2 linked regions of the Caenorhabditis elegans genome follow. The protein of the gene in region 2 interacts with the protein of the main gene of each other region in a pairwise test. Each region holds a gene or a part of one and is shown on either strand. Other genes may lie near its edges.

What was found. The genes of interacting proteins can lie anywhere in the genome.
Region 1: the proteins of prp-21 (region 2) and prp-9 interact in a two-hybrid assay, tested with the Caenorhabditis elegans proteins (2 studies listed by BioGRID).

The regions. Positions count from the first base shown.
Region 1 is NC_003280.10:8,522,393-8,527,658, reverse strand, and holds prp-9 (Matrin-type domain-containing protein), read left to right. Parts: upstream 1-2,262; 5' UTR 2,263-2,264; coding exon 2,265-2,408; intron 2,409-2,457; coding exon 2,458-2,616; intron 2,617-2,683; coding exon 2,684-3,210; intron 3,211-3,261; coding exon 3,262-3,523; intron 3,524-3,582; coding exon 3,583-3,768; intron 3,769-3,813; coding exon 3,814-4,038; 3' UTR 4,039-4,165; downstream 4,166-5,266. Other genes in the region: gldi-7 (Sodium/potassium-transporting ATPase subunit beta-1-interacting protein), read left to right, coding at 65-187, 267-749; mrps-18B (28S ribosomal protein S18-2, mitochondrial), read right to left, coding at 971-1,354, 1,416-1,496, 1,540-1,598, 1,698-1,791, 1,872-1,970; cht-2 (GH18 domain-containing protein), read right to left, coding at 4,222-4,391, 4,438-4,798, 4,840-5,266.
Region 2 is NC_003280.10:482,626-491,500, forward strand, and holds prp-21 (uncharacterized protein), read left to right. Parts: upstream 1-2,240; 5' UTR 2,241-2,243; coding exon 2,244-2,349; intron 2,350-2,479; coding exon 2,480-2,768; intron 2,769-2,854; coding exon 2,855-3,014; intron 3,015-3,236; coding exon 3,237-3,606; intron 3,607-4,387; coding exon 4,388-4,667; intron 4,668-5,142; coding exon 5,143-5,327; intron 5,328-5,792; coding exon 5,793-5,998; intron 5,999-6,256; exon of another isoform or gene 6,257-6,339; intron 6,340-6,854; coding exon 6,855-7,052; intron 7,053-7,480; coding exon 7,481-7,654; 3' UTR 7,655-7,778; downstream 7,779-8,875. Other genes in the region: gldi-1 (NLE domain-containing protein), read right to left, coding at 1-10, 294-477, 1,029-1,305, 1,349-1,424, 1,476-1,569, 1,617-1,753.

The DNA.
Region 1 (5,266 bases), 8.0 Mb from region 2:
TGGTTACTGTAGTCATTTAGTTGAATAAAATATTTCATTTCACAACTGCTATATTTTCTTTCAGAGACCTGACCTAGAAGAAGAAAATCGTGGAACTAATGTCACATCATTAGTCAGCTTCGACCCAAAAAGTGCGACTCTTTTGCGAATACGTCAGCATTTGGAGGCAGAGCCATCTGATAGAGATGTGAGTTTTCATGAATGATTTTCTATACAAAATATTTATATCAAGAGTTCATAGTTGAAATAATATCTATAATTTTCAGACGCCAGACTACGATATGTACGAACGACTCCGATCAAGATCTTCTGGACACTCTGAAGTTGCACCGGCTTCTACTATCCCTTTGAGTTCTGACTATAAATCAAGAAATGCTTCTCAAGATTCGGTTCCTTCAATGTTTGCTCCGATGCTCAACTCTCCAGCCCCATCTTCTACAACTTCTGGATCTTCTTCTAGAACATCTGGAGCTTCGTTGGCACACAAAACTCACATTGTTGGGAAAGGTGGAATTTCGTTATCAACTGTTGATCCATCCCCGATTCTTTCTCCAGGAATACGGTTATCGGAGCAACTAGGAGCCAAGAATCAGTCTTATAAAAGTGCATTCAGGGTCCAGAAAACTGAAAATGCTCGTGTTATAAGTCACTATCACGCTCCCAACGAAATTCCACTTTCCAGTGATCCATCGGTTGTTGAGAATGAATCTAACTATCCCGTGATGACTAGTGGTGGACTTCTTGTTTAATTTTGACTCAAATCTCATGTCTTGCCGTCTTTTTCTAGGCACTATATACGGGTTTATTCTTTCTTTTTTGTATTCTTTCTGCTTTTTTTAAAATAAATGTTTAAATAATTGAGCTCAATTTTTATTAGAACCAACAACAAGTGATAACAAATTACGATAGAGACCTACTAAAATTCGAAGAAAATTGCTGAAAACCGAACACGCTAGGAAAATTAAAACAATTACTTTGCCTTCTTGGCAAATTTATCATGACGAATCCACCATTCGTCCCAGTCGTTGTTCTTGTCATTTTTGAATGTTGGGAAGTGAACAAGTGGATCTGGATGAATATCTTGCAGACGTACACCAGCTCTCTCAACAGGCTTTCCAGGTTCATCTGTCCAGCTTTTGTACCATTGACGATAATCAAAGTTTCGGAATTCTACTCCAAATGTGATTGTTCCATGTTCTTTTGCTTTCAGAAGTTGTGCACGAAGTAGCGTGTACTGTTCACGACATAGTCCACTCTTCAGGATATCGATTGGTTGGTCGGTGCCATCTGCCAAAAATTGTTCAATGAGACCTGGGTTTCGGTAGTCGAAGTATAGATATTCGTCACGGCACACCTGTAATTCGTGAATTTGTTTGTTATATCTGCAAATGTTAGTTGCTGTTACAAAAACTTACTGGACAAGCATGATTTAGATTGAATCGGCCGTGTTTATCAATGCAGAAAAGTCTTGGAGGTGGTTGAAGTTTCGATTGACCCTGAATTTTCAATCAATTTATTTATTTTTCGAATTCAAATTACCTTGATGTTTCTCTTATACCATCTGTAAATCGGAAGTCCTTTGTAAGCCTCTGCGTATCCTGAAATATATTAAATAATTTAATTTTTAATTGGCATTCATGAAAGCTGTACACAAAGAATTCCTCTTATTTTGTTTTTGAAACTAAATTGAATATTACCTCGACTTTTCATATAGGAAATCTGCTCGGCAATACTGTGTTGTGGTTTGTACATTCCCTTCTTTCGTTCAACATGATTGTAAGCGTATCCGGCCTGAATATATCGATTTTTAAGTAAAATTGTTTATAAATTTAACATAGAAATTAGTTTAGTTCAAATATATTATCAGTTACCTCTTCTGGAGTCGGAACTTCTTTAGTTTTTCCTTCGCAAGCCAATCGGCAGGAAGAATGAATCAGCCTTCGTGCGAATGATCCCCCAGTGGCTAACATACCTGAAATACTGACTTAGACAACTTTTAAACAATTTAATTATATTTAAAAAGTACAAGCTTATAGCTTTAAATTACAATTAAAAACTTAAAAATAAAATAATATACTTTGTGCGTCAAGTTAAATGCGGTGTACGCAAGGAATGTGTGTTCACCGTCACGTCAAGTTGCACATTTTCGAACATCTTATTTTTCTCAAATTTTTATTCTTCTGTCTTGTTTAATCTTTTTTATGAATAGTTATTCACTAATTTAATATTTTTTAAATGTTTAGTTGTAAGAAAACTTTACAGAAATGGATTCGTGTCTAGAAACCATCAGAAACTTGCACGAGGAACGGGAACGATTAATCGATATAACTGTTAAGGAAAAAATTGCAGAAAAGTTAACGCATAAGGCCAAAGTTAATAGCGAACAGCGAGTGAAAACATTTGTCGATGTAAGAAATAACTGTTATGTTATTTCAATTCAATATTATTATTTTTCAGAGGTACTATTCAGTTTCCGCCGAGCTTGCCAAATTTTATAAAGATGAAGACGGTTCGAAGAGCATGGAAATGGATTCAGTTTCTGGTCCAAATGAGTTCGCCGAATTTTATTCAAGACTGAAGGTCATCAAAGATGCGCACAGAAGAAATCCAGACGAGGTTAGTTTTGTTATTTTCCCCGGAAACAATTAAGTTTGGTTGTAATATAATTTCTATACATTTTCAGCTTGCCGAACCACTCACCGTGGAGTTCCAAAAAATCAATGAAGAAATCATCAACCCTGAAAGAGCCGAGCCAGATATGGTTGAATTCAGTGATGAAGAAGCTTACGGTCGTTTTCTAGATCTTCATGCACAATACGACAAATTCATTAACTTGAAGAACATCAAAAGGGTTGATTACATGACGTATTTGTTGAATTTTGAGAAATTCACAGAGATACCGAAAAATACTACCAAGAAGACAGGAGCATATAAAGAATACATCAATTCCTTAAAAGACTATCTTGTTTCTTTCATGCAACGAACTCGCCCACTCCATGATCTCGATTCAGTTTTCTCTGAGGTTAATCAAACTGTAGAAAGAGCATTTAAAGCAGGGAATCTTCCTGGTTGGGAAGCTGATAAAAACAAGAACGGACCTCAAGCAGCTGCTGTGGATTTATCTCCATACAATAGTGCTGAAGAACTCGAGGGATTGGGATTGGAACGTTTGAAAGGAGCTCTCATGGCAATTGGTCTGAAATGTGGAGGGTGAGTTAAAAATATTTGGATTTTTTAATTGTAGTCCTCGTTATTTTTCAGAACTCTGAAAGAACGCGCTGATCGTCTTTTCGCTACCAAAGGGCATAAACTGTCAGATCTCGAAAAAGCAGCAATGTCTTCAAATAATTCCGATGCCGAAAAGCAGAACGCTAAAAATTTGACATTGGCACAAACGGAAGCTCATATTATGGCACTTGCTGATATTCTAGCTGAAGAACGTACTGGAACTCGCGAAAATGTCGAGAGAAAACAAGCTAGATCTGCTGGAGAGGTCGAAGAAGAGGAGGAGGAGGAAATTGTGGTAGGTTTGAATTATTTTCTCTAGTTATTTTTAGAAACATTTAAAAATTCATTTTTTAGATCGAGGAAGAGGAAGAAATTGATGAGAGTGCACCATATAATCCAAAAAATCTACCGCTTGGTTGGGATGGAAAGCCAATTCCGTATTGGTTGTACAAACTTCACGGCCTCAATCTATCATATTCATGTGAAATCTGTGGAAATCAAACTTACAAAGGTCCAAAGGCGTTCCAAAAGCATTTCAACGTAAGTTCATTATATTGGTCTCGTTCAAAAACTTGATATTTGCAGGAGTGGCGACATTCTCATGGAATGAGATGTCTTGGAATTCCGAATACCTCTCATTTCGCCAACATTACGAAGATCAAAGATGCACTGGATTTATGGAATAAATTGAAAACCGAAAAGGAGATGGCTAAATGGAATCCGGACATCGATGAGGAGTACGAGGACTCCAGCGGAAATGTGGTCACCAGGAAGATGTATGAGGATTTGAAAAGACAAGGACTTCTGTAGACGCTATTTTATGTATTCCATTGTTCTTCTAAGTTATTTTTTTTCCTTTTTAATCTTACATTTCTGTAAGTTTTTAACCAATTGGTCTCATTTTTCAAATTTAATGGATAAACTTTTTTGTAATTTTAGTACAATTGAAATAATTTATCGGTATATACAGTTTCAGATAAGTAGTGAGAAAGTTTAATACTCAAATGCAGGATTTGCCTTGAAATCAGCACATCCTAAACAGCTACAATATTGTTCTCCTTTTCCGCAATAGCCACTATTACTGCAACAGTAGGATTCAGAATCCGGATCACATTTTGGAATTTTTCCAGTAGAAAGTCGTGGAGCATTGTAACCACAACGACCTGAAGATATATTCTTATAAGTTGAATTGAGGGCCTGTTCCCTCACCAACGTTGGCTGGATTCTCAGAAAATGTCCACCATTCTAATGGTTTATATTTGAAATCTCTCTGTTTTGCAAAATCAATACATCCATTACATTCACAATGTTCCTTTGAATTTCCACAGTAACCTCCATTACTACAACAATGAGCATTAGCATCATCTGGATTACAAGTTGGCGCTTCTCCTTCTAAAGGTGGAACATCTCGACCACATCGTCCACGTTTCCCTTCTCCAGCATCCGATGTGTACCATGTGATCTTTTGGCTTGGTTTCACTGGTTCTTTCAAAATTAAATTTGGATCTGCACCATAGTCAATACATTCAGGACAAGAACAGAATTCTGCACCGGAACCGCAATAGCCATACTGCAAAACGGTATTATGAAGCCTTTCACGGTGGTACTAACCTTTCCACAACAAGCATGACCTGGATCATCTGGATCACAAACGGGATAATATCCATCAATCAATGGAGACGATTTTCCACACATTCCAGCCAATTCCTCATTATCATCATATGTCCACCATCTTTTGTCGTCTACTGGAGAACACTTGTAGTTGAATGACTTTGTTGATGTGGTACAAATAGATTCAGCTGCAGCAGAGTTCAGAAGGGTACCTTGATCATCATCAAAGTCAATTGCCCATATCATAACTCCTCCAATATTATTTTCAACTATATAATCAACTTTATGTTTGAGACTTTCAGCATTTTCATATCCAACAAAGGTTTTTTGTTCAGAAAGCCAAATGAATGGGGTTTTGGATCCAGAATGAAACTTGGTTTTTGTAGTATCAAATTTCTCGTGCAGATCTCTCCATTGAACATCTCCA
Region 2 (8,875 bases):
CGGTTCGGTCCTGAAAATTTTTTTTATTGTGAAGGAGTCTGGCTTGAAATTTATGTTTTAAAAAAATTCGAAATTAGGAGAATAAATTGATTACGGTAGGTTTTATGCGATTTTCATGGTTTTCGAACTATTTTTTAAATATGCGCGAGTTTAAGTTAATTCGGATTCGTTTGTGATCATTCGGTGTTTAAAATCAGTTTGCGCATTTCAAAGTGACATCCCCGTCGTTGAATTTTCAACGTTTTTAAAAAATATTTTCAAGATTTTTCACAACTTTTCCTGCAAAAAGTTACCTGAGATCCGGAATAAATAAGTCCTTCGCCTCCCCAACGCAGACAGGTGACCGAAGCAGTGTGTCCACTCAAACAGCGAACTACAGTACCCTGTACGGTATCCCAAATGAAAATATTTCCGTCTTTTCCACAAGAAGCCAGAAGCCTGCACGTCGGGTCTTTGTGCATCGGTTGCCATGCCAAACTGCAAAAATTTTATTATAAAAATTCGATTTGAAATGGAAATGTTTAGTTTTTATGTTGAAAAATTAATTTTTGGCTAATATTTGAGAGAAAAACTCGGGTTTTCTGAAGCTTTCTGTTAAAAATCACATTTTTCCACTATGGATGATAAGTAAACTCATAGAAAATATTAAAAATTCGATTTAAAATACCCAAATTATTGGAATTCGAAATGGGTCTGCTAGACTACAAATTACAAATTTCGATTTAGCAGACCCAAGTGGTTTTGAAGAAGTTTGGGTCTGCTAGACTACAAACTACAACTTTCGATTTAGCAGACCCAAGTGATTTTGAAGTGATTGGGTCTGCTAGACTACAAACTAGAAATTTCGATTTAGCAAACCCAAATAATAGTGATTTTCAAAAGGGTTTCAGTAAAAATACATCGTTTCAGTGGGGTTTTAATGGAAATTTTAAGAGAACATTGTAGTGATAAATACAATTTTACGGCGATTTTTTGTAGAAAACCCAAATTTTCAAGACATTTCAGTGATAAATGCGATTTTCCTGCACCTCGTGATCCATTGCTTGTGCCTTTTGAGCGTTTTTCCGATTTGCTCTCCGGTTTTCGCGTTCCAAATGCAAATTTCTCCGTTTTTGCAAGCCGAAGCGATTTTCGTAGCATCCGGTGACCAGGCGATGCAGAGAACCCAACTTTTATGGGATTTACACGTGTGGAGAGGCAACTCGAGCTCAATATCCCAGATTCGCATTGTTTGATCGCCGGAGCCCGACGCTAGACCACGTCCGTCAGGGCTGAACTGAGCAGAGATTACTGGCTCTCCGTGACCTGAAAAATATATTTAAATGCGTCAAAACGATCAAAAAATTACCTGGAATGCTAGCGGAGCATCTGGTAACTGGTCTCACACGGAACACTGCTTGTGGCTGATAAACAAGCTTTAATGTCTGAAATTTTAAATTTTTTAAAAAGTTTTCTATCTTCTTTCAAGGGCTTACAGTCTCAAAATCAATTTCCTCTAACGATTTTCGAATGGAATCGACAATTTCAGCGCCTTCTGTGGTGAAGAAGGAAATCGGCACAGGATCGTCACTGAAAACTCAGGATGAGATACAGAAAATTCATTATTCAAACAAAACCTGCTCCCGAGAAGCTGATTACACAAAATTTGCAGCTCATTCGTGGAGATGTCCACTGGAACAAGGATTCCCGATCCTCCGAGCTCGTTTTCGTCCTCTGACACGAAGCTGACCGAGATTTGTGGACTTTCAGTCATTTTGTTACCTGAAACCGTTTGAGTTTTAATTATTTTGAAAGTTATAACAAGGGAAATCGTTGAAATTGAACTGGAAATCGAAGAAATTCGTTAAGAAATTGCGCTAAATAAATTATTTTTCTCAGTGGAGCGAAGAAAGAAATACAGTGGAAAAAGTTAGGCCATCACTTTTTAGCATTCATTTGTATAGAGAAAACTGTAAATTTTTTACAGATTGTTATGTTTTTACACAATATAAAACATTTTTAACGTAACAGCAGTAAAAACTATGTCGAAAACAATAAAGAATAGATAAAAACCTACCGGGAAAATTTGAATTTGGTCATGGTCGAGTTCTGTAGTGGCCTAGTAACCTCCACTTAATATTCGAAAACGTTTATTTTTCAGTTTATTGCTTTATTTCTCTATTTTTAATTAAATTATTAATTTTCCTGAATTTTTTGCGAAATTTACGAATTTTCAAATTATTTATCTTATAAATTTGCAGAAAATGACTGCAGTTGTCTCAAACCGCGAGGAGGACTCGATGAACAACGAGCCCTCGTTGTCAGGGCGTGCGATTATTGGATTAATCTACCCGCCGCCGGATATTCGCAGTAAGTTTTATAGTTTAAACCAAAAATAAAACAGTTCTGCATGGTTTTGGAAAGATTTCACGCGGAATTCCGCAAAAACTAGGGCAAATCGATATTTTCCAAAAATAAGCAATACATTTTCAATTTTCAGCAATCGTCGACAAAACCGCCCGTTTCGCTGCAAAAAATGGAGTGGACTTTGAGAATAAAATCCGCGAAAAGGAGGCGAAAAACCCGAAATTCAACTTTCTCTCCATCACAGACCCATACCATGCCTACTACAAAAAGATGGTCTACGATTTCTCAGAAGGCCGAGTTGAGGCTCCGAAAGTACCGCAAGCAGTGAAAGAGCACGTGAAAAAGGCTGAATTTGTGCCTTCAGCTCCACCGCCGGCCTACGAGTTCTCAGCGGATCCATCCACGATTAACGCCTATGATTTGTAAGTTTTTTAGAACTTCTAGAACTAAAATTAGATGAAAAAGCTATTTTTAACCTAAAATGAAGTGAAAACCTTATAAATTGCAGAGATTTGATCCGACTCGTTGCTCTGTTCGTTGCACGAAATGGCCGTCAATTTCTGACTCAATTGATGACACGAGAAGCCAGAAATTATCAATTCGACTTTTTGAAACCGGCTCATTGCAACTTTACATACTTCACAAAGCTCGTTGATCAATATCAGAAGGTAAAAATCAAGAAAATCTGCGTATTTCTAAGAATTTTTAAAAAAATCTAGATTTTTCGGTTGAAAACTCAAAAAAAATCCAGCTTTTTCGGTAGAAAACTCAAAAAAAAAACATTTTGATAACTTTTTCACTATTTTCAGTTTAAAGATGGCGGAAAAGTGAGCTTTATAACTTTTATTTGAAATTTTTAAGCTAAAAGTTGCTAAAATATCAGTTTTCAGGTTCTGGTGCCCTCTACCAACGTAGTTGCCCAACTCCAAGACGATGCTACCAACAAAAAACGTCTCATAGAAGATATCAATTATCGTGTATCCTGGGAAAAACATCAAAAAGGTCTAAAAGATCGCGAGGAGGCAGAAGCCGAGAAAGAGCGTCAAGCCTATGCATCAATCGATTGGCATGACTTTGTAGTTGTTCAGACTGTAGATTTCCAGCCAGGAGATACTTCTCAGCTTCCACCACTATGCACACCAAAGGACGTTGGAGCCCGTATTCTTTTGGAAGCGAGAAATGAAATGCAAAAGGCGGCGGCTGAAATGCAGGAAATGGATATGGAAGAGAGTGATTCCGATGACGAAGATGCCGTTCAAGGTGCTTTTTTGGAGCATTTTACGTTGAAAATAGACAAAATTCACTTTTTTCCGGTTTTTTCCAACAGTTTTACTTTTAAAATAGATGGAAAACAATGGCAAACTATGAAAACGCTGAAATTCAAATTTAAGTGCTTCCAACCTGGAATATTTAAAATTTTTAGGCGAATTCACATTTTATTTCGTAGAAAACGAACAAAAATCGCAATTTTGAGTTAAAAAGTAAGATTTTTTGGGTCTGCTAAATCAAAACTTGTAGTTTGTAGTCTAGCAGACCCATTCTCTTCCAAATCACTTGGGTCTGCTAAATCGAAATGTGTAGTTTGTAGTCTTGCAGACCCAAGCTCTTCAAAACAACTTGGGTCTGCTAAATCGAAATGTGTAGTTTGTAGTCTAGCAGACCCATTCTCTGTAGAAACTACTTGGGTCTGCTAAATCGAGTTTGTAGTTTGTAGTCAAGCAGACCCAATTTCTTCCAATTCACTTGGGTCTGCTAAATCGAAAGTTGTAGTTCGTAGTCTAGCAGACCCAAAAAAATCAATTTTTTTTTATTAGCTTTGGCAAATTTTAACTCGGAAAACTAATGAATTTTTGGGACATGTGAGTTTCTATCCAAATTGATGGTATGAATATCGATATTCTCGGCTGAAAGTGCAAAAACTACCGTATTCTGACCAACAATTATTGGAATAGAGCACACGTGTCACCCGAAATACGAAAAGTATTTTTTTTTAATTTTTCAAATTTTTAAATTAAAAATGAGTATATTTATATATTTTCAGCACCAGAAGCCCCTGCATTCACTGCTCCGCTGCCACCTACAAAACAGAAAGACGTGATTGTTCGAGATTACGATCCGAAGAGAAATGTGACCCAAAAGCCAAAAGCTGTGGAGAACTGGATCATTTCACCGCTCACCGGAGAGCGTATTCCATCGGATAAGCTCGCCGAGCACGTCAGATACAATACTGTCGATTCACAGTATAAAGAGGACAGAGATCGTCATATTGGAGAAAGAAGCACGGAGGAGCCCGTATTGGCTCTTGGAGCTGATATTTCTAGGTTAACATTTCAGAAATTTCTTTGAAAAACGAACAAAAGTCTAAAAATCGCCACAATAATCTACAAAAAATCGATTTTTCGTGGAAATTTTGTTCATTTCCGCATTTTTCGCTCGAAATTTGAGATCAGTGCTTCAAATTAGACCTGGAAAGATTCTAGCTCAATTTCAGAAAATTTGGGTTATCGTAGCACCAGAAGTACTCAAACACTGACTACAGCACACCTAAGCACCAAATTTCACGACAGTGGTGAATTTTGAGCTAAAATCGATTTTCAGGAGTAAATTAGAGTGCTAAATCTAAAATTGGAATAAAAATGTCTTAAAAATTGTAAAAAGTGAAAATTAAAGATTTTCAGACAAATTTCCGATTACAAATGCCCACAAAAGATGTTCAAAGCTGAAAATTATAGATTTTCAGACGAATTTTCATTTTTCCACGTGCCAATATCACTAAACCCCAGTTTTTTCTTTCAGAAATCTTGGCAATTTCGCTGAACGTCGTACGGATATCTTCGGTGTCGGCGGAGAGCAGACTATGATCGGAAAGAAGCTCGGCGAAGAGGACAATTCGCAACAAGGGCAGAACAAACTGATTTGGGATGGAACTGAAGAGACTCGGGATATGATTACCCGAGCTGTACAGAATAAAGTCACTTTGGGTACGGGAAATCTAATTTTTTGGCGAAAATTTTGAGTTTTCCGGGATTTTGTTTGGGAAAATTACACGATTTGTGTGGTTTTCTATGTAGAAATTTCTCTAAAACACTCAAATGTTTCAAAAATTCGAGTTTTCATGAAAAACCAGTAATTCAAAAAAAAAGCAATTTCCTCTAACAAAAACCGTGCCAAGTTTTGGATTTATGATATTTTCCATCTGAAAAAAATCTGGTATCTCGGCTGAAACGGGCAATATATACCGTAGTCCAAGTTTTCCCAAAAATTCCAACCAACAATTTGTGCAATAAAGCACAGTTGCCACCGGAGATGCAAAAGCTATGTTTAATTTTCCAATTTTTGGCTGAAAATTGAGCTAAAAATTTACAATTTTCCCGTCATAAAACTCACCGAAATTTCGCTTTTCAGTGTTTTTTATGCAAAAAAATTAATCATTTTTCATTTTTCAGACCAACAAATCAACGAAATCCACCGTCAACACGGATTCGTTGCCGATCCATCAAAGGAAAAGATTGGAGCTCAGCAGGTGCCACGTCATCAATCGACCCAGGGAAATGTGACAATTACTCAAGGAATAACGAATATTCCTGGACAAATGCCATCCGGATGGCCGCCGGTTCCACCAATGGGAATGCCTGGGATGCCGAATCAAGCGGTATGGGATTTTTGAGTTGAAAAATCTCCAAAAAAAAATTCGTTTTTTCATGTAAAATCCTGGAAAAATCGGATATTTCGACAAAAATTGTCAATTTTTGGACCAATTCTCTTTGTATTGCAAAAACGAATCGAAAAATCCCAAATTAAACATGAAAACTAACATTTTCAATTTGGGTCTGCTAAATCGAGTTTGTAGTTTGTAGCCAAGCAGACCCAATTTATTCCAATTCACTTGGGTCTGCTAAATCGAAAGTTGTAGTTCGTAGTCTAGCAGACCCATTCGCTTCACAACAACTTGGGTCTGCTAAATCGAGTTTGTAGTTTGTAGTCAAGCAGACCCAATCTCTTCAAAATCCCTTGGGTCTGCTAAATCGAAAGTTGTAGTTTGTAGTCTAGCAGACCCAATCTCTTCAAAATCCCTTGGGTCTGCTAAATCGAGTTTGTAGTTTGTAGTCAAGCAGACCCATTTTAAAATTAGTTAAAATTGGTTAAAAATCGCGAATTTTTGCTGATTTCAGAGAGATATTGTATTTCTTTCGAAAAATATAAAGAAGTGGTTTTTTGTGTATTTCTGTTTAAAAAAAAATAAGAAAAAGCTACACCAGGTTAGCTGAAACTATATTTTTGTTGAAAAATAGTGAAAACGCCACCAAAAGTTATCTTTAACCGCGTAATTAGACGATTTTTCGGCGGAATTAACTGGAAACTGTGTTAAGATTAAAATTACTGAAATTTCCACAAAATTAAATTTTTTTAAATGTAAATTTCATCTCAAACGGACACAGAAATTCCCATTTTCACTGGAAATTCTCATGAAAAGCTCCAATAAAATGCATAAAGCTCTATAATTCCAGCTTCCTCCAATCCGACAAATGGACTTTGGCGGTGGACCTCCAGCGAAGCGTCCTCGTACCGAAGATGATTTGATACCAGAAGCTGATTGGCTTAAAAAGGTCAACGGAGCAATTTCGCTTAATGTTCATCTTCCACAGGCTCCCGAACACGGAATGGATGGCTCAATTGTGCAGTTTACAATTCAAGTTACTGCACCGGTGAGTTTTAGATAAGAAAATTGTTTTTTTCCCCTGAACGAATTTTTTCACCTTTATTTATTTATTTATTTATTTATTCGCTTTTAAACCATTTGAATAGTAAGTTGATAATAAACATAAAGAATAGGTAAGAGGCGAACAAATATAAGATGACCGATTGGACAAAGGTCCGTGGCCAAATGAGGGTGGGGGTATGAAAGACTTATTTACAGAAGCTTTGATGGGGGAAAAAAAACTATAAGTGAGATCACATCATAGTGTCAAGGGGCAGGGAACAAATACGTTTGGTAAACGTTTCGGCTGACACTGGTTTACTGAACAACTTGGCAAGAGAGTTCCAAAAAGATAGGTATTTATGCAAAAATATTTGTTTGTTGAATGGCCCATTGGGAACCACCTGATGCCCAATTAATTCATAATTTTTGCAGATGTCCGAACTCAAACAACAAATCCAGGATCGTTACGGAATGCCTGTTGGAAAGCAGAAGCTGATGTCTGATGGCCTTTTCGTGAAGGATAATATGAGCTCGGCCTTCTACAATTTGGCAGATCGGACGGCGATTTATCTGCAAGTGAAGGAGCGTGGAGGAAAAAAGAAGTGATGAGCTATCGATTATTTATTACTCTTATTAATATTTATTTTCTTTCAAACTTTATTCTAAAATTGGACGCCAATTTTAATTCTTCAAATCTCAACTTTTCTTCCAATAAATTTGTAAAAAAACCGTTCTGTAAATTTGGAGTGGAAAATCTAAAAGTTCAGACATGGCTATACAAAATTCAGATTCAGCATGTCAAATTACCCCGGGACACTTTTTCTCCGGCTTTTAGCCTTAAATTTCAGAAAATTGGGTTACTGTAGCACCAAAAATACGCAAACATCGACTACAGTACCCCAAAACACCAAATCTTACTACACTGAAGAGTTTTGGGCTGAAAATTGATGTTTAGGGGTAAACTGGAGTGCTGAAATCAAAAATTAATATGAAAATTCTAAAAAATCGATATGAAAATCTTAAAGTCCGGCATTTTCAGACAAATTCTTGATTTTTCTTGGTTCAAATAATAAATTCGAATTTTTTTGTTTATTTTGTTCAGATATCCAGATTTTTTAAATTTTACTTGTTACAGGACATTTTCAGAACAAAAAATACTAGAAAAACAGAAAAAAATTGCGTTTTCAGTAAAAACAAAACATTTTTTGCACAATCTGAAAATTGTTCGATTGCACCCTAAAAATTGCACTATGTTTTCCAAATTTCTTACATGTGTTTTTGTTTTTTCCCCCACCTAACATAACATTTTAAGAGTTTTTGAAAAAATTTTCGAAAAAAAATTTAACAAAAAATTTTTTTTCACTTTTTTTTTCCGAATTTCTTTTTTTTCCCAGAAACATCTTGTACCCCATATTTCATTACAGTAGTACTTGTAGTCAGTCTGTCTGTGCATCTGTTTGTCCACCAAAATCAGCAGTTCCCGCCACCTAAAAATAGTTCCCAACAAGTAAGTTCAGCGTCAAAACTGGTATCAAAACTCCCCTTCTTACCACAAAGTAATGTTCTATTTGACATTTCGGAATAAGAAGTTTGCTCCCATTGTTCAAATAAACTGTATGTGTGCTCCGCGGAGCACACAAACGAAAAAAATTGCCACTGGGAGAGGGGAGCTCAGGGGGTGGAGCACTTTGGCACAAATGAGCACACTTTTTCCTCATTTTTCCGATTTCAAGAGCCTCATATGACTGATGCTGCAGTGTTTAGCTGATTCTTCAAATTTTTTGAAAATTTCGCGGAAAAATGTTTTTTTTGGAAAATTTTTTGGAT